4 linked regions of the Arabidopsis thaliana genome follow. The protein of the gene in region 1 binds, or shares a complex with, the protein of each later gene. Each region holds a gene or a part of one and is shown on either strand. Other genes may lie near its edges.

Region 1 (3,755 bases):
ATTTGAGACTATCAAAATGATGGTTCTGCCAGGAGTCTATATATACTGATATCAGAGTGGTGGGCTAATAGACGAAAAACTAAATCATAAGTATGGAATCTGAAAACTAGGGGTGTTAGTTAAAGGAACTGTGATAGGATTCAGTTCTCGTAAACTCTTAAGAGGCTTGATTAACGAGAGAAGTAAGTCTCTTATCTATCGCCCAGTGTCCAAAGCAAAATCCTACATTAATCCACAAGGCCCCAACTCAATAACCTAGCTTTCCTTTCTAACCTCGAGCTCTCAACTAATTGACATAACATAATCTTAATTCTGATACAGTGATATGTTTCACACCCCATAAACATCACGAAGCAAAACACATGTCGACCAAAGAAAATATACTTACCTCAGACCACTTGACTTGGTTTGGAAATATAGCAATGATACAAGACTAAACTCCTTCCACACTGGTCCCTGGCTCCCACTCATGAGACATGAAACTGAAACTAACATTAAGTTATGTAACAAGAATCTCATGAGAAAGACATCATATCAATTGCCTAAAAGATAGGTTAGAAATTCTCATTCTTTCAGTCACAAAATCATAATCATAACATAGGCCTGTATAAAGAAAGGTTACAAATCACAAGATTAATAGTACGCTACACAGACTGTAATGAATCACTTATTTTACAACTGATTGAGGTCTACTGGGTTCTCCATACACTGTCTCAAAATGAACTCCGCTCTTCTTCTTTTGTCATCTCTATCCTCCTCACGCACAAAGGATATGGGTCTATCTTCACCCTTCATCTGTAGACTTAGATCCAAAGGTTGTCCGAGAAATTTCTTCTCGGTTCTGAGCTTAGAAAGAGCAACAGGTTTATTCTTCTTCCATTCAGTGTGAGCTTCACTAGAAAACCCATCTCTTGCAGCCTCCATAGCAGGAGCAAATGCCTCTATCACTGATAAGCCATCTCTATTCAATGATTCGACTTTCTCCCCGGACGATACAGAACGCAGTTCACTCTCATCATCTCTCATTTCTTCTTTCACACCATCCATATCTCCCCACACAGGATTCCTTGAGGAGATTTTACAAACAAGTTTCCTCTGCAAACTCAACAAAGCTCTCTCAGCCTTTCGTCTCTGCCTCGCTTGTTCAATCTTATCTCCCCTTGGATCTGATACTCTTTCGATCCACATAGGGGTTTCCTTATAAGTATGAGGATCAGGAAAAGCTGGTAGCCACAAAGGAATATGTTTCCCAGGTGGAGTTTCACCAATTTCAACAAAGCTTGGGATCATCTTCCTACTCCTATCACTTATAGCTACAGGAAAACTTGGCAATGGCTGCGAGAAAGGGACTTCTTCACTCGAATTAACGAAATCGATAATCTCCCTAAGTTTAATCGAACGACCTAATGAACAACTCTCAGACGAAATTCCTTGTTCGCCATTGTTATCAGTCAAATCATCCAAAGCGAGAATGATATCGAACACGTTACACTGACTCCTACCAGTTAGATTAGCGAAGGAAGTAGCGGTTTTACCTAGCTGAAGAATGTACTGGAGTGCGAATCCAGATAGAGATTCGAGAGCTGGATCCTTGAAATTCTCGTACCCAACGCTCTCGCAGACCTGAGCTACTGCAGCTTTAGCGGCTGCGTGGCTAAACTCGTAGGACTCGGAGCAGCCAGAGGAAGATGCGGCATCGTTCCTATCACCTTCTTGAGCTCTCTCTGTGTTCATTGCTCTAATTTGTTTCAAAAAGCTATCTAATCCCTGAAATTAGGGTTTTCTCGTCGGTAAGACCACATGGACCGCCGGTTTAAAGAGAATCGAAGAAATTTGCCTCCGTCAACGGAAAAGACCTAACGTCGACGAAGCACCGGGAAATATGAAGAGAGAAAGAGAGACAGAGAGAAATGCGTCTTGAGAATCCTGCCATCTCTCGCTTATATAGAGCTCCAACCCCAAAATTAACTACCAACTTTTTTTTTTTTTTTTAGACCAAAATTTTGGTTTAAAATTAAACAAATGTAAATTGTAGTAATCATAACCCAAAAAATTATTGGAAAATTTTATAAGAAATTGGCGTGGCTGATTTTGTTGAAAATAAGTTTTTCTGCGGTATTTCGTAAAAATTTATGAAGCTATTTTAGAAATTCGGATGAGTGATTCTGTTGAAAATGAGTTCTCCGCGATATTTCATTACATTGTTTTGAAAATTTTCCAAACATAACGAAATATCGCGGGAGAACTCTTGACAACTTCCCGAGTTTCGTTACATTAAACTATTTTAGAAACTCTTGTGGCTCGATTTGTTGAAAATGAGTTCTTTCCCGATACCGCGGAGATTCATAACCTAGTTGTTTTAGTGACAACTTCTCGATAATGACAGCCTTACACAGTCTCAAGTTCTATATCAGTCTAATTGCGATTATGGTAAGAACATTAAGTGGAGTAAGATAACGAGGATGTTGACTTTGAATTACAAAACCTCTTACAAAAGTTATAAAGACAAATCATACAACTACATATATTTTAGTACACTCTTGACATGACAAATAGTATTTGAATACGATCACAATGCCGAATCAAGCCAGCTGCAATAACTCTTCACGTTTAATGTCGAACACCTTCACCAAAGCATCTTCCACGACCTGTAATTTTTTCACAAATATTTTCACTCATGTTCGTGTGGGAAACAAGAGAACCAAACAAAAATATAGCTGCAAATATATATATACCTTATCCGGGGTTGATGCACCTGATGTCACACCGATTGTTATTGGTCCCTTTGGGAGAAAGTTTTCCTTCTCGACCAGTTCTCCATACTATCAATGTAAAATAGAAAAAATCAGTGAATGCAGTTTGGTAAGGAGTAAGTTAGTTTTGAAATGCGCTTACGTGGAGCTTATAGGCTATTTTATTCCCAGGTCCTATCCGTTTCTCACTATCGATCCAGTAAGATGGGATTCCCCGTGCCTCTGAGATTTCCTGAAGGTGAGAGGTGTTACTTGAATTCCATCCGCCAACCACTAGCATGAGGTCAATCTTCTCTTCCACTAGCTCATAGATTGCGTCTTGTCGCTCCTGAAGAGATTATAGTATTGATGAATAAACACTTCCTCAAGTGTAAAACTTGTCTAGATGCATGGTTTTTGAGGTATGGGAATTTTACTTGAGTAGCGTCGCATATTGTGTTGAAGCTGATGAAATGTCCGCTTACATTTTCCACTCCATACTTGCGCATCATTGTTGTCTCGAGTAATCTTCCTGTGGGGTTTTTGGCATGAGACTCAAACTAAGGTGTTTTTGTTTCCAAGGATAAAAGACGATTGTCATGTAAAAAAACGGTAGAGTAACTAACCTATCTCCTCTGTTTCTCCCTTTAGCATCGTTGTTTGGTTTGCAATACCAACTTTGACAAGGTCATTGTCGGGATCGAAACCCTTCGAAATTGCGTATTTGAATTTCTACAACGCCAACATAGAGATTAGAAAAACCAGAATGATACAAAGAATTAGCAAAATAAGCTTACATACCTCCATGAACTCCTCTTTTGTGGAGCTAGATCCATCGTATTGGCCACCGAGAATGTAATCACAAACGTAATTTGCCTGTGCTCAGTAATAAGGTACCCCATCAGTAACACATCTTGCAAAATTCTATGGATATCCAAAGTTTGACAATATAAAAGTCACACCTCTTTCATGTTCTTTACAATGATGTACTTTCCTGCAAAAGACGCAGTTGCAATCGTCTCT
Region 2 (4,120 bases), on another chromosome or scaffold:
TTGTTTCTGCAGGTATATTCAGGCTGGGACATTGATGAATAACTATGCACATATATTTGGTCTTCTTATCCGACTGAGACAAGTGAGTGGTATCGATAGTTTTGTTGTTCTATTTACAAGCCAGTGCATGTTTTGGATGATATAGGTATATAGATTTCTGATGCATTTTCTTGCAATTTTTTCAGGCTGTTGATCATCCATACCTGGTGAGTTATTCTAGTCCTAGTGGCGCTAACGCTAACTTGCTTGATGCGAACAAAAATGAGAAAGAATGTGGTTTCGGCCATGACCCTTCCAAGGACTACTTTGTAAGTGTTCCAGTCGATATATTGTTGCTATTTCATACTATCTCGACTCTTGTTTCTCAGTAACTGTATCTTCTGGAAATAGCTGCCACCATTTTACACTTTCTTAAAGAATCATCGGATGACTAATGTTGGACTTAACTTGTTCGGTTAATATGTCTTTGGTTCTCTTACTTTGAAGGTGACTTCTAGTGAACATCAGGCAAGCAAGACAAAGCTTAAAGGATTTAGAGCCTCTAGCATTTTAAATCGGATAAACCTCGATGATTTTAAAACAAGTACAAAGATTGAGGCTTTGGTATGTGCCCTTTGAGATCTACAGCTTCTGTCTCTCCCACGCTTAAAGTTTCTTTGGAGATTGGAGGCTTTATCTAACCATTTGGTGATAAAAAAAATTTGTATGCAGAGAGAAGAAATCAGGTTCATGGTTGAAAGAGATTGGTCTGCCAAAGCAATAGTATTCAGCCAGTTCACATCATTCTTGGACCTGATAAGTTACGCCTTGGGGAAGGTAATTTCAAGCGCAACCAACTACAAAATGCTACTACTACTATATCTGTGCTCCTTTAACATTCTCTTTAATCATAATGAGACATTGAATAAAAATGATTGACTCATTTTGTACAACGCAGTCTGGGGTTAGCTGTGTTCAACTGGTGGGAAGCATGTCCAAGGCAGCTAAAGATGCTGCACTCAAAAATTTTAAAGAAGAGCCAGATTGCAGAGTTTTATTAATGAGCTTGCAAGCTGGAGGGGTTGCTCTAAATCTAACAGCCGCTTCGCATGTAAGAAGTGTACAACTTATAAAACAGTTGCTCCTAGAACATGTTTTATTCACTGACATTCGGGTGTTTGATTGTATAGGTGTTCATGATGGACCCGTGGTGGAACCCAGCGGTTGAGAGGCAAGCACAGGACAGAATACATAGGATCGGACAGTGCAAGCCTGTCAGGTTATATTTTTGAGTTGTCCTTCAATATACTGTATGTTGTTTTGGTGGGGGAAGAAAGAAGAAACATTTGGTTGTGTGACAGGGTTGTAAGATTCATAATGGAGAAAACAGTAGAGGAAAAGATACTAACGCTTCAAAAGAAGAAGGAAGATTTGTTTGAAAGGTTTCTTATTTTAAACGATACGCTTCTCTCAACTTTGCTGGTTTCTTATTGTCAACTGTATGAAGCCTATATGAAGACATATTTGCTTTGTTACAGTACGTTAGGTGACTCTGAAGAGGCCGTTGTACAAAAGCTGGGAGAAGACGATATCAAGTCCCTGTTCGCATAACCAAATCTTGTAGATGAAGAACATGATAGAAAATTTGTATAGATAGAAAAAAGAGTCTTGACAGGACAAAATTAGGCTCAAGCTAAAAGATTTGATACATACTTGTGTAATATGATGAGCACCGGATAGATTGTATATGAATCGGATCACAAACTTTTCCTTCTCCCGAAGAATATTGAGCATGAGGCCATGGCCGGTTTGAGCCATACCGTGAGAACTTAGTTACAATGTCGGTCGACTAGTGTACGGGTTTCTGGTTTAGATTATGGGCTGGTTTAATATAAATGGGCCTATTTATTAAGCCCAATTACTTCGTATGTAATGCAATGTGCTTCTTCTACGAGAGAGAGAGAGATCAGTGAACAAGTCCCCGTTTCTTCGTTCTCATCATCTTCATCGCCGATTTTGCAACGACCACCTCTGCTACTCCCGTCGATCAATCTACGGTGAGCTCTCTGCTCTCACTATTCCCTTTTCAATTTTCATTCCTTTTCCATGACGACAAATATTTGGATAAAGAACCTTATTCGATTTAACTCCGTTGGTTGTTGTACTGTACCGGAATACAACTTTCCGGTAGCTCTCTGGTTTTGATTGCGGTAGAAATCTAGAATATAGGCTCGGAATTTCATTTTCTAGTTGAGATTACACTGTTTTTTCTTTTTTGAAAATTTTCACCTAGGGTTAGTATTTGACTCAATTGGATTTTGTCGGTAGAGGAATTTCACTTATTTTTCTATTATTTTGCTCTCCTGGATTTTGATTATCAGAAGAAGAAGAAGAGATGAGTAACACACCAGCAGCGGCGGCGTCATCATCGTCTAAATCGAAAGCTGCGGGAACTTCTCAGCCACAGGAAAAGCGCAAAACTCTCTTTCAAAAAGAATGTAAAGTCTTTAGTTAAAACCAGATTTTTGTATTCTTCATTTTGTGATTCTTCTGGTAACAATGGTTTTGGTGCTTTTGTTGATTTTTCAGTGCAGCATATGATGTATGGATTTGGCGACGAGCAAAACGTAAGCCGCTATCCTCTTCATTACTATTTTGTTGCCATATGAACCGTATTTGTAGATATAGTTTCATTCCAATACAAGTAACGAATTAGGTAGAGAATCTTTGCTTTAAAGGGTTCTTGGTCGTGTAACATCTTTTAGTGTTTTACCACCTGAAACTGATCCAAAACTCCTCTGTATTTAGCCTCTTCCAGAGTCTGTGGCGCTTGTAGAAGACATTGTTGTGGAATACGTCACAGATTTGGTAGTGAGCTTTTTCTTTTTGTGAATGATTCATGTTTTACATTACAAGCGGAGAGATATTAGCTAACAAGTGATGTTTCAATGGCAGACACATAAAGCTCAAGAAATTGGTTCAAAGCGAGGAAGACTTCTAGTTGATGATTTCTTGTATCTTATCCGCAAGGTAAAAATTCTTTTTAAAAAGTACACAATCGATGATTGAGATGGTTTATGGTTTTGTATTCTATATCCGAAACTTTGGCGTCTTTGATTTATGCAGGATTTGCCAAAACTGAACCGCTGTAGAGAACTGTTGGCGATGCAGGAAGAGCTGAAACAAGCACGCAAAGCTTTTGATGTCGACGAAAAGGAACTCGTTGATTGATCTTGCTTTTCCTCAACGGGAGGAACAAATGCTAGGTAAGAGGAACCTCATGGATGCCGGACTAGGGACAGCGTTTTAGGTTGTAATCAGAATTCGAAGCACAGTAGCAAAAAAAAAGTGTGTTGACTTAAAAAAGGTGAAAAAAAATCTTGCACAAGGCCGACTCATATTAAATGTAGGCCCATTAGAAGAAAGCCCATTATCTAGCATCCCGTATATATCTACGGACGACCTTTAATTTTTCTTGAGTCAGGAATTTCGAAACCCTAAAAATTTAGAATAACCACCCGATTTTTGTTTCTTTCATTAAATTAATTACCGCAATAATTATAAAATTAGTCATCATTATAAGACTTTTGTTTTTCTCTAAATTTTTCGTCATCTTTCTGATATTTTGATTCATTATTTTACCATGGAAACAATAAATAAGAATGGTGATCAATTACCAACTAAAGAAAATCATTGTGATCAATTAGAGATAGAGCAAATAAACAACACGAGCATGAAGAAGAAAAAGTCATCACGTGGGATGCACATGTTCTCCGTCGTCATGTTCATGCTTCGTCGCCGCCGGGGAGAAAACCCTTCAACACCAGGTTCTGGCGGCGAGTCGTTAAGTCCGTACGTAAACTCCGTTTCGAAATTACGATAATGCCATCGTCAACTTTTACTAACACAATTGTTCTCCCTCCGGCTCCTCCTCCTCTGCCAGCGACAGAAATGGGAGGAGACGATGGTGATAATGATAATGAAGATGATGATGATTCCGAGGGTCGTTTATCAGAGACTATGGAGGTTTTCACGGCGGCTTCATCTTCATCATCATCAGGAATCTCGGGATATGGATCAGCCATGTCCTTATATGATGATGATATTGATGAGGAAGAAGATGAATGTTATAGTGATGTGG
Region 3 (6,035 bases), on another chromosome or scaffold:
GAGTCGTGAAACGGCACGCAGTGTTTTGTTTTTTTAAACATTGAATTTCTCGGCCCGACATTATCGTGGAAGTACGAGATTCACTGGATTTGATGGCTCGTCGGCTGTTTCTCCTCCTCCTCGCCGTCACGGCAGGGTTGAGCTTGACGGGAACAACCGTCAGAGCAGTTGGCATAAATTGGGGGACAGAAGCGTCGCACCCTCTTCCGCCTTCAAAGGTTGTAGAGCTTCTGAAATCAAACGGCATTGTCAAAGTGAAGCTCTTCGATGCCGACCCAAAAGTTCTCCGAGCTCTCTCTGGTTCTAATATTGGTGTCACTATCGGAATCCAAAATTCGATGCTCAAGAGCTTGAATGCATCCGTAAAGGTAGCAGAGAGCTGGGTACATGACAATGTCACTCGTTACTTCAACGGTGGAAACAGAGTTCGAATCGAGTATCTTCTTTCTCCTTCTCTTCTGCTTATCCAGTTATATATATATAGATTTAAGATTTTTAAGCTGGAATTTAACTTATGGAATGTGAATGAGTCGGATTTGTTTCAATGCCAAATTGCCAATCTTCTTATTGTGAAATTATCATTAAAGAAAAGAATTGATTTTCAGGTATGTAGCAGTTGGAGAAGAGCCATTTCTCCAGAGCTATGGCAATCAGTATAAGCCTTTTGTGATTGGGGCAGCTATGAATATCCAAAATGCTTTAGTTAAGGCGAACTTGGCAAATGAAGTGAAGGTTGTAGTCCCCTCAAGCTTTGATTCCTTTCTTTCTGAATCTGGTCGACCTTCTTCAGGACACTTTAGGGCTGACCTCAACAAGACGATGATTGAACTCCTCTCCTTTCTCACAAAGCACCACTCTCCTTTTTTTGTGACAATCTCTCCTTTCCTAAGCTTTCACCAGAACAAGAACATCTCCCTTGACTTTAGCCTCTTTAAAGAAACAGCAAAGGCTCACAAAGACGGACGTAAAACCTACAGAAACAGCTTTGATCTAAGCTATGACACACTTGTCTCTGCATTGTTCACAATTGGGTTTTCGGAGGTGGATATCGTTGTGTCAAAGATCGGTTGGCCTACAGATGGAGCAGAAAATGCAACATCACTGACTGCTGAGGCGTTCTTTAAAGGACTGATAGTTCACTTGGAGAAAAAGACGGCCTCTCTCCCGCGTCCTCCTGTTGAAACCTACATTGAAAGTCTCTTGGACGAAGATCAGAGAAACTTATCTGCTGGGAACTTTGAGAGGCACTGGGGAGTGTTCACTTTCGACGGTCAAGCCAAATACAATTTCAGTTTCAACCATAAGAATCAGGTAAACGCGCAGAATGTTCAGTACCTTCCTCCTAAGTGGTGTGTGGTGAACAATAACAAGGACTTGTCAAACGCGTCAGCAAGAGCATTAGAAGCGTGTGCTGTTGCGGACTGTACATCGATACTTCCTGGCGGGTCGTGTTCAGGCATCAGATGGCCAGGCAACGTTTCATACGCGTTCAATAGCTTGTACCAGCAAAATGATCACAGTGCAGAAAGCTGCAACTTTGGTGGACTTGGTTTGATCACTACTGTTGATCCTTCTGAGGATAATTGCCGGTTCTCGATTCAACTTGACACTTCTCATTCATCTTCGCAAACTCCAAATTTCTTTCAGAGCTGGCCTCTCCTCTTATTGTTCCTACTGTCCGGACTCTTTTAAAGTTGTAGTTATAGCAAAATTTTGGTGGATTTTGCCTCTAATTTCTCTCTAATAGCCACATTTCAAAACTGTATTGGGCTACGTAAAAAATAACTGTTATTGGGCTGGGCCTTCGTAAAGGTTAGATGATTATGGGCCTTAGAACCATGTTGTCTTATTTGATAAAAAAAGCAAGTCCAGTTATTTTGGGAAACCGGTCGGTAAAAGATAAGATGTAAAAGAATTTAAGATTTAAGATAAATGCAATAATAAAGTTCCACTATTTTTGAGAGAAATATAAATAAAACGCGAGATTTTTTATTCTACGTCTAAAAAGGCTCTCACACGATTCGTTAAGAGTTTTGGTCTGTTGTTTATCGCAAACCCTAGGTCATGGCTGGGATGTACAATCAAGACGGCGGCGGAGGTGCGCCTATTCCGTCGTACGGTGGTGATGGATACGGCGGAGGGGGAGGTTATGGAGGTGGTGATGCTGGATATGGTGGACGCGGTGCCTCTGGCGGAGGTAGTTACGGCGGACGCGGTGGTTACGGTGGAGGCGGTGGTAGAGGAAATCGAGGTTTGTGATTTAGATTGTTGCAGATCTGATTGATATAACCTTATGATTCTTTAGATTTCTCCATTCCTTGCTGAGCTACTTTTGTTAAATCTTTAGTTTCTCACTATTTCGATGATTCGTTTTGATTTAGGCGGTGGAGGTGGTGGATATCAAGGAGGTGATCGCGGTGGAAGAGGAAGTGGCGGCGGAGGCAGAGATGGAGATTGGCGTTGTCCCAACCCCAGGTAATGATTGCAAATTATTTGGGATTCCATTCTTTCTGCATATGTAATGAATTGAATTAGCTGTTGAATTCCTTTGTGGGAGCATGTTTTGAAATTGTTTACCCTCGAAACTGTTTGTATAGTTGTGGGAACGTGAACTTTGCAAGGAGAGTTGAATGTAACAAGTGTGGTGCACTTGCTCCTTCTGGTACTAGTTCTGGTGCTAATGATCGTGGAGGTGGTGGATATAGCCGAGGTGGAGGTGACAGTGATCGTGGGGGTGGTCGTGGTGGTAGAAACGATAGTGGTAGGAGCTATGAGAGTAGTAGATATGATGGTGGAAGTAGGAGTGGTGGTAGCTATGGTAGTGGTAGTCAGAGGGAAAATGGTTCGTATGGTCAGGCTCCTCCTCCTGCTGCAGCTATTCCATCCTACGATGGTTCTGGAAGTTATCCTCCACCCACGGGTTATGGAATGGAAGCTGTTCCCCCGCCTACAAGCTATTCTGGTGGCCCGCCGTCATATGGTGGTCCACGAGGGGGTTATGGCAGTGATGCACCGAGCACTGGTGGTCGTGGTGGTAGGAGTGGCGGCTATGATGGTGGTAGTGCTCCTCGACGGCAGGAAGCTAGTTATGAAGATGCAGCTACTGAAAAAGTCAAGCAGTGCGATGCTGATTGTGATGATAATTGTGATAATGCTAGAATATACATCTCTAATTTACCTCCGGATGTGACAACTGATGAACTCAAGGATCTCTTTGGTGGCATTGGCCAAGTAATAACACTGGTCTTTTACTTCTGTTGTGTTTTATATCTTGGAATAAGCCTTTCCCTTGCTATAAGTTATTAAGTTCTTGTTTGTGTACATGTTTATTGGTGTGCTGATAAAGTGTGTCTGGTTGGATCTATTTTAGGTTGGAAGAATTAAGCAGAAGCGTGGTTACAAAGATCAGTGGCCCTATAATATTAAGATTTACACTGATGAGAAGGGTAACTATAAAGGTGACGCCTGTCTGGCTTATGAAGATCCCAGCGCTGCACACTCTGCAGGCGGCTTTTTCAACAGTATGTACTATGGAATTGCTGTCTAGCTTAAAATTGTTTAAAAGTTCTGTTTCGTGAATGGTGGTGGATTGTTTTGTAGATTACGAAATGAGGGGGAACAAGATTAGTGTAACGATGGCAGAAAAGTCTGCGCCCCGTGCTCCTACCTTTGACCAGAGGTAGCTGTCCTGATCATTTATCAGCATTCTTTTTTGTTACCATTTAGCTGTTACCACCTGCTCCATCTTATAGGTGTTTGTACTCTAGTTGTTTTAGGCTTTTAGCTTTATAATTTTAGTAGGGAATATGAGTTTTTGCAATGCTAAGTTTATGTTCCTTGTCTCTGAAGACTGTTTGGATCTTGTATCCTACTGGGGATTTGCTTTGTACACTCATCTGGGTATGACAGAAAGGGTTGGGAGTTCGTATGTCATCAAATTATGCCTTAGGTCTATGTTCATGCCATAGGAAATAAATCTATGTAGTTATCTTGTAACCTATAGCTGTGGCTGCTCTTGGTTGTGAAGAGATCTGTTGTTTGTTCATGCTTCTTATAAGCTCCTAGTAATTCCCCATATAAGTTGTATCTTTATCTGGTTTTCCATGCTCTATAAGACTCGTCTTTGTTGTGTGTTGAGTCACTTCATCTTACGTAGTAAGCTGGTTTTAATTAGAGATGTCTGTGTCTGATCTAATAATGTTGTCCTTGCAAACTTGTGAATGTCGCAGAGGTGGGGGTAGAGGAGGAGGAGGTGGTGGCTATGGTGGTGGTGGGGGAGACAGAAGAAGAGACAACTACAGTTCAGGGCCAGACAGAAACCACCATGGGGGAAACCGGTCTCGTCCATATTGAGAGAAAGAGAGGAATGAATGAATCAGCTGTTATGTGTTCTAAGAGTTTTGTGTGTGTTAAGGAGGGAATTTTAGTAAAATGTTCTATGAATCCTCATATTGGAGATACAAAAAAAGAGGTAGGTTTTTGTTCACTTTGACCTTGAGCAAAATTACCCCTTTTTTCTCCCTACTTGTTCTGTTTCTTTGGGGATCTATTATTCATGCATCTCCGGTTTATTTTTAGTTTGTTTTTCACGATGTGAAATGTTTGTTTTTTGTTTTATTGAAGGAAGCTGATATTTAACTGCAAAATGCATTGCAAATTGGTGCTATGATGATTTCAGGTGAGTGCATTCATCTTGATTACTTCTTTCAACACCAGAAGTCCCTTTTTTGCTTCTCTTCCTTCTTTTTTTGACTCTGTTCAACACAAACAAAACAGTCGTATGTTTTCATGTTGTATTGTGTAATGCATTCATTTAGGCAACCACACTTCTCTTTACAATTTTCGGAGTTGTTATCGTTTTTTCTCGCAAACTTCTTTTATAGCAACATGTGTTCCTCGAGAATTGGCAGGAGTGGGGGATGGCTAGGCACTTGTGTCTGATCAGTTGATCTGAAGTATGCAGTGACCTTTCAAAGATCAACTTGATGATTTTATTGCCAACTTCACTCACTGGGGCTATGATTAGGATTAGGGTTTTACAAATGAGTGGCCTTTTTTTGGATAAAAGACGTTGTTAATAAATAGTTAATCGTTCAATCTGGATCCCAAGGACTAAAGAGAAGGGTGTCTCGTAAAGTTCTCTATGTGTATATGTCATGACCTTTTGGTCAAGTGCCGGATTGGCCAACTCTTTAATGTGTTACATGTAACGAAAGTTTATGTTGAAATTATAGGAACAAAAAAGACTAATGCCGAAAATCCCAAGAGAAAGTTTATTAATGACTTGTTGTGTAGAAAATATGGACGAGAGAAAGAATCCAGGAAATTTGGAATCCTGTAACATTAGTTTCAAGATTCCCATTCTCAATTCGACAAAGAGAATCCATCTTCTAACATTGCATATTCACAGCTCAATCGCTGGCTGGCTCTAGCACACGGCGATATTACTTATTTACCATCCCTTTCACACACATATTGGATAATATACATATTCTTAATAAAAGTCCACCAGTAGTCTTAAGCATAAATTTACAAAAAAAAAAAAAAAAAAAAAAAGTAAGGCAGTAACAATGTAATTCTAACAAACTGCTTAGATGTGTGAAATCCAGATATTTGTAAGTTGTAACTTGTAAGACCACACTATTTAATACTTAATGTGTTCTTAACCTCAAATTGACAATACCTGCGATTTTTCTCACTTTCGACACAATTTTCTATATGATTTGAACTTCAACAATTCTATATAAAAAAAGGTAAAATATTTACATGCAAATAATAAACTTACCCATTACCATATCTTGTATACAAGAAGCTAAACGAAGGAGGGAATGAAGTAGGAATCACATATAAGCAAGAAGAAGCTATGGAACTCAGGATGGATAGCGCCAACAGATATACATGTACGCATATACAAAACATACAGCACTGGTGAGCCATGGCGCTATCCCTCCTGAGCTTTATAGCTATTTCTCTACTACTCAATCTGAAATTTACATCCATAGGTATGCATCTTCCTTTACATATGTGTTATAATG
Region 4 (7,764 bases), on another chromosome or scaffold:
CAGTGAGATAAGATATAAAACATCTTATTAATAAAATTTTGTGATTGATTGAATTTGACTCCCCTGTAAAAAACAACAACTGATTTTAAAAACCATACATAGAAAACTATTTTATAGAACAACAATAAATACTAGTTTTTCACTATATAAGGACTTGATTGGTTCTTGAAAATTATATGTATTGATTATTGGGAGATTTGCAAAACTAGCCTTTTTTTACTACCCTTTTGCAACAATACCCTTTCATGTTGTCCATTTTTAAAAATATCTCTCCCCTTGAACAAAATGACCAAATTACCCTCATCTAATAAAAACATGTAATTGGAAACTGAAATTTTCCCGCCAATTTTTTGGCGCCAAAATATTTTTTTTCCCGCCAAAAAAAAGTTTCCGCCAAACTTTTTTCCAACCAAAAAAAAAAATTCCCGCCAACAAAAAAATTTCCCGCCAAATTTTTTTTTCGTAAAAAATTTTTCCTCAGCCAAAAAAAATATTTTAAAAATCCTTGTAAATATTTTTTAGCGCCAAATAGATTTACAAGGGATTTTAAAAGGATTTTAAAAGATTTACAAGAGATTTTTAAAAAGTTTTAAAAAATTTACAAGAGATTTTAAAAGAGTTTTAAAAGATTTACAAGAGATTTTAAAAGAGTTTTAAAAGATTTACAAGTAATTTTAAAAGGTTTTAAAATCCCTTGTAAATCTTTCAAAACACTTTTAAACCCTTTAAAAATCTTTACAAATCCTATGTAAATATTTTAAAACCCTTTAAAATCCCTTGTAAATATTGTAAAACCCTTTTAAAATCCCTTGTAAATATTTTAAAATCCTTTTAAAACAATTTTAAACCCTTTAAAAATCTTTAAAAGACCTTTGTAAATCTTTTAAATCCCTTTAAAATCTCTTGTAAATCTTTTAAAACCCTTTTAAAAATCCCTTGTAAATCTTTTAAAAACCTTTTAAAATCCCTTGTAAATTACCCTTTTAAAATCCCTTGTAAATCTTATAAAACCCCTTTAAATTGCCTTGTAAATCTTTTAAAACTCTTTTAAAATTCCTTGTAAATCTATTTCCCGCCAAAAAAAAAAATTGACGGGAAAAATATTTTTGAAAACAAAATTTGGCGGGAAATGTTTTTCAAAAATTTTTGGTGGGAATTTTTTTCGAAAAGGTTTGGCGGGAAAATTTTGGCGGGAAATTTATTTTAGAATATTTTAGGCGAAAAAATATTAATATTTCATTTTGTTAACCTAAAACAATTTCCAAATAAGGGTAAAATGGTAATTAAAAATTTAAAGAGAATATAAATAAAAATGGATAAAACAAAAGGGTAGAGTTGAAAAGGGGCATCATGAAAAGGGCATTTGAAAGAATTTTTCTTGATTATTTGATATCCAAAATTTTATAATATATTTTTAGAAAACGAGTTAACCATTGTGGGAGGAAATAACTGACCTTGTCTTATATACAATAAATTGTTGCAAGTGTTTAGTTTAACCATTGTAACATTTGATTTAAGAATTATTGTTTAAATATTTTTAAACTGGGTGTTTTGGAAAGTTATTTTTTTTTTTAAATAAAAGTTAGAAATTTTGAGAAGATAACATTTTTTTGGATAATTTTCAATAATTCTGTAAGAATTAATTACTCAAACAATAAATATTGGTATCTTGTCCCAATCTTTAAGTTGAAATAGAGAATCCAAAGCAAGTAATTTAAAAAGAAAATGGTTATGAGATTTTACATCAAAGTAAGGTCATGGGCTTATAATTCAAAAACTCTTAGTAAATTTTGAATCTGGGCATTTGCCCAACCTGCCACCCCCATAGACGGGCCTGGTTTTAATCATAACTTTGAAATTATTATATTTGGGCCACAATTAGGCCATTGAAACAGGCCCAGTTTTGTAGAGACACGGAATCTAAAAAACTGAAGATGTTTCAGCGACGAGATACAAGTTTCTAGGAGAGGAAATTGAATCGAGAGAGAGAGAGAGAGACAACAATGGATCCAGAGCAAATCAACGAGTTCGTCGTGGGCTACTTGAAGAAGAAAGGATTCAGTAGCGCTGCTAAAGACCTTGAATCTTATCATCACCAGAACAATAATGGTAGCTCCTTCACTTCTGTCGATTATCATAACGATCCTGAGCTCACGAAGCTCATTCGCTCCTTTTCTCAGTAATCTCTCTCCCTATCTCTCTCTCTCGTTTCAATTCTTAATGCGAATTGTGTTTTGAATTTTTGGGAAAGTTTTAGTGTCTTTTGTGAATTTTGAAAACCGTAAGGAAAAATTATGTAAGCTCCAACGTTTTTGAGAATCTAAAAATGAATATAATTCACTTTCTGGGTGAAGTTTATGTGAATATTTCTATCAGTTTATCTGTCAAATTTAAGATTTTGATGACATCTCAGTGGCAAGAAATTAGGTTTTTTTGTATGGCTTATGTAGAGAGAGCTAATGGTAATGAAATGTCTGTTCTTTTGTTTGCAGACAAGAAGATGATCCAACTCGGTACCGTGAAGGTTACAGCAAACTAAGGTCATGGGCGTATAATTCTCTGGATTTATATAAGGTGGGGATTTTTTTTTGTGTATCCCTTGGCTGTTTTGGGTAGAGACAGGCTTAATTGAACTGACGAGATGATTCTAATTTTGTAGCATGAATTGCTTCGAGTGATGTATCCTGTGTTTATTCATTGTTACATGGATCTGGTGGGGAAAGGGCACACTCAAGAAGGTACTTGTCAATATAGCAAATTAGATGTACTGAGTATTTTTTTTACCTTCGGTATAAGATTTTTGGAAACAGTGACTTATGCTACTGTGGGAAATAATACGTCTCTTGTATTCCAGCTAGAGCCTTCTTTAACAGCTTCCGCAAAGATCATGAGATGGTACACTTACGGGATCTTCAGAAGCTTGAAGGCGTGCTTTCTCCATCTCATCTAGAGGTTTATGATAAACCTTATATGGTCATATAATATTGATAATGGATTTTTTTTTTTTTTTTTTTGGTTATTATCTTTCTTATGATCTTGGTTCTTATCAGGAGATGGAGTTTGCTCGTTCTCTTAGAAAAAGCAAGGTTAACATCAAGTTTTGTCAGGTAGACTTGAGTGAAAATTGACTAGTAGCTGTAATAGGCAACTGCTTCGAGGTTTCTGGTCTGATTAACTGAATTCCGTGACTGCAGACCTCTAATATGCTTACTGAATGTTGCAGTATTCATATGAGCTGTTACTTCAGTATCTACATAGTACAGTATCGACTTTAATGCTTGGTATTATTAACGAGCACATCAATTTCCAAGGTAAATGTGTTTCTTTCTCTTATATATGCGATAGCTTGTAGCAGTTTTTTGAGTAGAAAATTGAATCAATTGGTCATGGATAATTTGTTGCAGTCTACTCGGGACAGCCTACTTCCTCATCCGATGACATAGAAGCTGTCACCATTGTCGGGAGTTTTCAGGACACTGCTAATCACATTAATCAAAAAGAAATACAGTGGGGAGTACGTATTTCCCCTAAAGTTTCTTTTCTCTTCTATTTTTCCAGAGTTATAACATGTTGATGCCTCATCCCAGGGATGATAACATATTTGCGTAGTTAATAGCTACATATGCATTTTTCTTTTACAGTTGCTTGAAGATTCACTAGAAGATCGCCTTGAGAAGACAGGAGGTCTGCTGTCTGATTCTGAGAAGGGACAAGGAGAAAGTAAAGACGGGGATGCAGATGATAGTAAGGTGATACATAGCTTCAACTTAGTCAATAATTTCTGAACTGAAATCCCGTTTTTACTCGTCAATTGATTCTGTGTACAGAAAAGATCCACTGAAATTGGAAAGCAAGGCTCTTCCTTAAAAAAGTTGAAGAAGGACAAAGCGGGTAATGCAACAGCAAAAGTTGCACGTCTGGAGACCATTACGGTGTCACCGGCGCCGCGTGTAAAACCAGAACTTGCCTTGCCAGTAATGTACTTTCGAATCCCTTACCCATTTTTTGTGTTGGGATTTGATTAAAAAGGAATGAACATGTGATATCTATGGGTGATGCATGATTGTTTAGGAGAAATGAACATAGTCTTTGTATTTGTCAAAGACTCAACCTCCTTTAACATAAATCAATTTTGCTCCATCTCCTTGTTTTCTCTGTCAGGTCCACAGATGTAGAGCAATCCATCCTTGAAGACCTTAGAAACCGTGTGCAGTTGAGTAGTGTTGCAATGCCATCAGTCAGCTTTTATACATTTGTGAATACTCATAACGGGTAATGTCCACCTCTCCTCCTAATTTTAACTACTTATTTGCAACCTTGTTACTCACTCTTTTATTCTCCCCCAGGTTAAACTGTTCATCTATATCTCATGATGGATCTCTGGTTGCTGGTGGGTTCTCAGATTCTTCAATAAAGGTATGTTATTCTCGGATGGTTGGATACATTTCCCTTTTTTTGTTTTCTTCCTCTCTTAAATGATGCCAAGTGACAATTATGGTGTTCAGGTCTGGGACATGGCTAAGATAGGACAAGCTGGCAGTGGTATGTTAATTCTCTGAAAAATTGTATTGACATCCACGTTTAAGAATGATATTTATCTCATACGTTTCGCTTGTCATTTTTGTTGATTTCTCATAATGATTGTTTTTGTTTCCATGAGAGTTATAGACACTAAGCTGTCTGGTTCCAGGTGCTTTGCAGGCTGAAAATGATTCAAGTGATCAAAGCATAGGACCAAATGGCAGAAGAAGTTATACATTATTACTGGGTCATTCAGGGCCAGTTTACTCAGCCACTTTCAGTCCCCCTGGAGATTTTGTTCTATCTTCTTCAGCAGATACAACAAGTATGTATCTGTCCATCACTTTACAAATCCATACACTGGCTCATTAGTTCAGACTTTTTTAGTTACCAACCCTGTATTCATAAGTGCAGTACGACTGTGGAGCACAAAACTAAATGCTAATCTCGTGTGCTACAAGGGTCATAATTACCCTGTATGGGATGCCCAGGTATAGTTAATTCAATTTAACCCATGTTTCTTACATAACCTGCAATTTATGGTGGCTGGACATGTATATATATTATATACTCATTTTATGGTGCAGTTTAGCCCTTTCGGTCATTACTTTGCAAGCTGTTCTCATGATCGTACTGCACGGATTTGGTCAATGGACCGAATACAACCTCTTCGGATAATGGCAGGGCATCTATCTGATGTTGATGTGAGTGTCTCCCTCATCTTCATTGTTTGGGTTTAATTTGCAAAGGTTAAATCGAAGGGACCAATTGAGTTGTTAATTAAATGCATGGATAAATTTCTTAAAACGTTTTATTATGCAATTGAAGTCATTAATTCACCGTATCAATGTTTACAATGGTTTATCTAACATTTTACATTGTTTATTGACTTAGATTAGTACCCACTTGTTATTTTAACGTGACCCTGACATTCATAATTTAAGAATCGTCCAGTTTATAGTTGATCCAAAGATTGTTAGCCAATACGCTTAAAGTCATAAGGTTACGATGGATTACTTAACTATTTGGATTGACATTAAGTCAGATCAGTAACTTCAATTTTTCTTTGGATACCTATTGATGCGACTTTCGTTGTACTTGTCAAATGCATTTGATTTCAGTGTGTACAGTGGCATCCCAATTGTAACTACATTGCTACCGGTAGTAGTGATAAGACGGTTAGACTCTGGGATGTGCAAACTGGAGAATGTGTCCGGATATTCATTGGGCACAGGAGTATGGTTTTATCATTGGCGATGTCTCCAGATGGGAGATATATGGCTTCCGGTGATGAAGATGGCACTATAATGATGTGGGACCTCTCAACTGCTCGCTGCATCACTCCTCTCATGGGCCATAATTCATGTGTCTGGAGTCTCTCATACAGGTGAGGTGTCAAGAGAAGAAGAAAATAGCTTTATTTGATCATTCAACTTTTATTGAGTTAGTAATACACAATGAAAACGTAATATGATCCTTTTTTCAGCCAACTATTGGTTTTGGTTGATATGCTTTATCATCTCTGGAATTTCTTCTAGGACAACATTTTTTAAAGGGTAGTTCAGGGTTATGATATAGAGTGGTATGGTGTGGCTATTTCTATTAATTCTACAGTGACTTACTACTGAACTGGTAGATTTTTCTATATCCACGCACTCTTGTGTTAGCTCTAACATAGGGTTCTTGTCATGGGTTGTGGAATGTTGTATAGGCCTAATGTGTTGGGTCGTTAATGGAATGACTGGTTTTGGTTGGTAAAATCCACTTGCTTGGAATATTGGAACCGTAAACTCCACTTTGATAAATCATAGAACTACTACAATTTATGACTAACCTGTTTTCCTGTTTCAGCGGGGAGGGCTCTCTTCTGGCTTCTGGATCCGCAGACTGCACAGTGAAACTGTGGGACGTCACTTCAAGTACCAAATTGACAAAGGCCGAGGAAAAGTGAGTTTGCTCTTTCAAGTTGTATTGTTGTTCCCTTTGAATGGTAGATTGTTTTGTTAAAAACGATTTATCATTTGTGATTGATCAGGAATGGAAACTCGAACAGATTGCGCTCACTCAGGACTTTCCCCACCAAGTCCACACCAGTTCACGCTCTCCGGGTAAGTTATGCTTTCTTTACTAGAATTAATTCCACCATTCTCTAAACACCGTGGTATTTCTCTCATCCCTAAGTTTATCATGTTGTGCTTGTGATCAACACATCCCGATAATGAGTGACCAAACACTTGATTAGAACCAAAGTTTCAGGGTGTGTGCCAAACAGATTTTATCCATCAGTATCATATAGAACCTTTCCTCTAACACCTAGGATTCGTTGATCGAGGCATACACTAAAACTCATGTTTTACATTGATGCAGTTTTCTCGGAGAAATTTGTTGTTTGCTGCAGGAGCGATCTCTAAACCCGCAAACTGATCAAAACAATGGTATCAGATATTGATGCTTTAACATTCTTACAAGCTGTTGTAGATCTCAGAAGAAATCAGGTGTAGAATAGTTATCTCCAAAGATTATTTGCTTGTGGCTTTTGTTTCTCATTTCTAAATCCCAAAAATGTTGAAGATTCTTTTAATGAACAACTACTCCTGCTTATGTATGCCATGTGTCCCAATCCAGGAATCACTTATCTTCGACTTGGAGCAGATTTACTTTAAGCATGTCAAAGCCACATTCTTCCTTCTAATAAACACCCTAGTTTAAGCATGTCACCTCTATCATGAATCAAAACCTACTCGAAATGAATAAGGCAAAGAACAACAACCAAATATTCTCAAAATTTATAACGTTAATAAAATAGAAACATGTAATGAATCTCCCCAAAAAGACATCGTGTGTCGAGAGAAATCTTTCTTAAGACAGGGTGGGTGGTTATGTGGTATGTTGTGAATTATGTTTTTTCTTAGAGAACATATTTTTTAGAAACTTTTCAGATACTAACATATTTTTTATTTTGTGAAAACATTTAATTCTCCTAATTTCTAGAGACGGTACTTAAATAAATAGAGAGCTGACGACAAAAATAAAATAAAATTGAGAGCTGAAGAAGAAAAGAAAGAAAAAAACATGTTTTGAAAGACATTTGCATCAAAATTTTGGATGAGACATAAAATCTACCAAAAGTAGATTTGGTTGTGTGACTAGACAATTGTCTACATTTGGAATTATATGTGGGAATGTGGTACTCGTTATCTTCTTATATGAGATCTCTCCCGGTCAGTTTTCTCATTACTTTTT

The links.
Region 2: TAF8 (region 1) and TAF13 share a complex: the UniProt entries of both Arabidopsis thaliana proteins name them as parts of the TFIID complex.
Region 3: TAF8 (region 1) and TAF15b share a complex: the UniProt entries of both Arabidopsis thaliana proteins name them as parts of the TFIID complex.
Region 4: TAF8 (region 1) and TAF5 share a complex: the UniProt entries of both Arabidopsis thaliana proteins name them as parts of the TFIID complex.

What each region holds. Positions count from the first base shown.
Region 1 is NC_003075.7:16,426,099-16,429,853, forward strand, and holds TAF8 (TBP-associated factor 8), read right to left. Parts: upstream 1,913-3,755; 5' UTR 1,735-1,912; coding exon 673-1,734; 3' UTR 541-672; downstream 1-540. Other genes in the region: HDR (4-hydroxy-3-methylbut-2-enyl diphosphate reductase), read right to left, coding at 2,583-2,648, 2,736-2,822, 2,896-3,081, 3,170-3,264, 3,359-3,464, 3,534-3,608, 3,695-3,755. UniProt on the Arabidopsis thaliana protein: TAFs are components of the transcription factor IID (TFIID) complex that is essential for mediating regulation of RNA polymerase transcription.
Region 2 is NC_003070.9:578,710-582,829, forward strand, and holds TAF13 (TBP-associated factor 13), read left to right. Parts: upstream 1-1,915; 5' UTR 1,916-2,036; intron 2,037-2,360; 5' UTR 2,361-2,374; coding exon 2,375-2,477; intron 2,478-2,568; coding exon 2,569-2,606; intron 2,607-2,787; coding exon 2,788-2,847; intron 2,848-2,934; coding exon 2,935-3,009; intron 3,010-3,105; coding exon 3,106-3,210; 3' UTR 3,211-3,601; downstream 3,602-4,120. Other genes in the region: AT1G02670 (P-loop containing nucleoside triphosphate hydrolases superfamily protein), read left to right, coding at 13-82, 186-308, 487-603, 712-816, 938-1,090, 1,170-1,258, 1,341-1,421, 1,518-1,590. UniProt on the Arabidopsis thaliana protein: TAFs are components of the transcription factor IID (TFIID) complex that is essential for mediating regulation of RNA polymerase transcription. May be involved in polycomb repressive complex 2 (PRC2) mediated repression.
Region 3 is NC_003076.8:23,636,884-23,642,918, reverse strand, and holds TAF15b (TBP-associated factor 15B), read left to right. Parts: upstream 1-1,945; 5' UTR 1,946-2,064; coding exon 2,065-2,251; intron 2,252-2,381; coding exon 2,382-2,475; intron 2,476-2,597; coding exon 2,598-3,231; intron 3,232-3,370; coding exon 3,371-3,521; intron 3,522-3,600; coding exon 3,601-3,679; intron 3,680-4,229; coding exon 4,230-4,353; 3' UTR 4,354-4,471; exon of another isoform or gene 4,472-4,623; 3' UTR 4,624-5,504; downstream 5,505-6,035. Other genes in the region: AT5G58480 (O-Glycosyl hydrolases family 17 protein), read left to right, coding at 93-436, 606-1,692. UniProt on the Arabidopsis thaliana protein: TAFs are components of the transcription factor IID (TFIID) complex that is essential for mediating regulation of RNA polymerase transcription.
Region 4 is NC_003076.8:8,675,114-8,682,877, forward strand, and holds TAF5 (TBP-associated factor 5), read left to right. Parts: upstream 1-1,935; 5' UTR 1,936-2,003; coding exon 2,004-2,179; intron 2,180-2,492; coding exon 2,493-2,574; intron 2,575-2,659; coding exon 2,660-2,738; intron 2,739-2,854; coding exon 2,855-2,952; intron 2,953-3,050; coding exon 3,051-3,107; intron 3,108-3,223; coding exon 3,224-3,311; intron 3,312-3,404; coding exon 3,405-3,514; intron 3,515-3,641; coding exon 3,642-3,749; intron 3,750-3,827; coding exon 3,828-3,979; intron 3,980-4,161; coding exon 4,162-4,272; intron 4,273-4,346; coding exon 4,347-4,416; intron 4,417-4,505; coding exon 4,506-4,542; intron 4,543-4,690; coding exon 4,691-4,846; intron 4,847-4,935; coding exon 4,936-5,012; intron 5,013-5,108; coding exon 5,109-5,225; intron 5,226-5,642; coding exon 5,643-5,908; intron 5,909-6,372; coding exon 6,373-6,468; intron 6,469-6,556; coding exon 6,557-6,629; coding exon of another isoform or gene 6,630-6,674; exon of another isoform or gene 6,675-6,888; coding exon 6,889-6,945; and 2 more. UniProt on the Arabidopsis thaliana protein: TAFs are components of the transcription factor IID (TFIID) complex that is essential for mediating regulation of RNA polymerase transcription.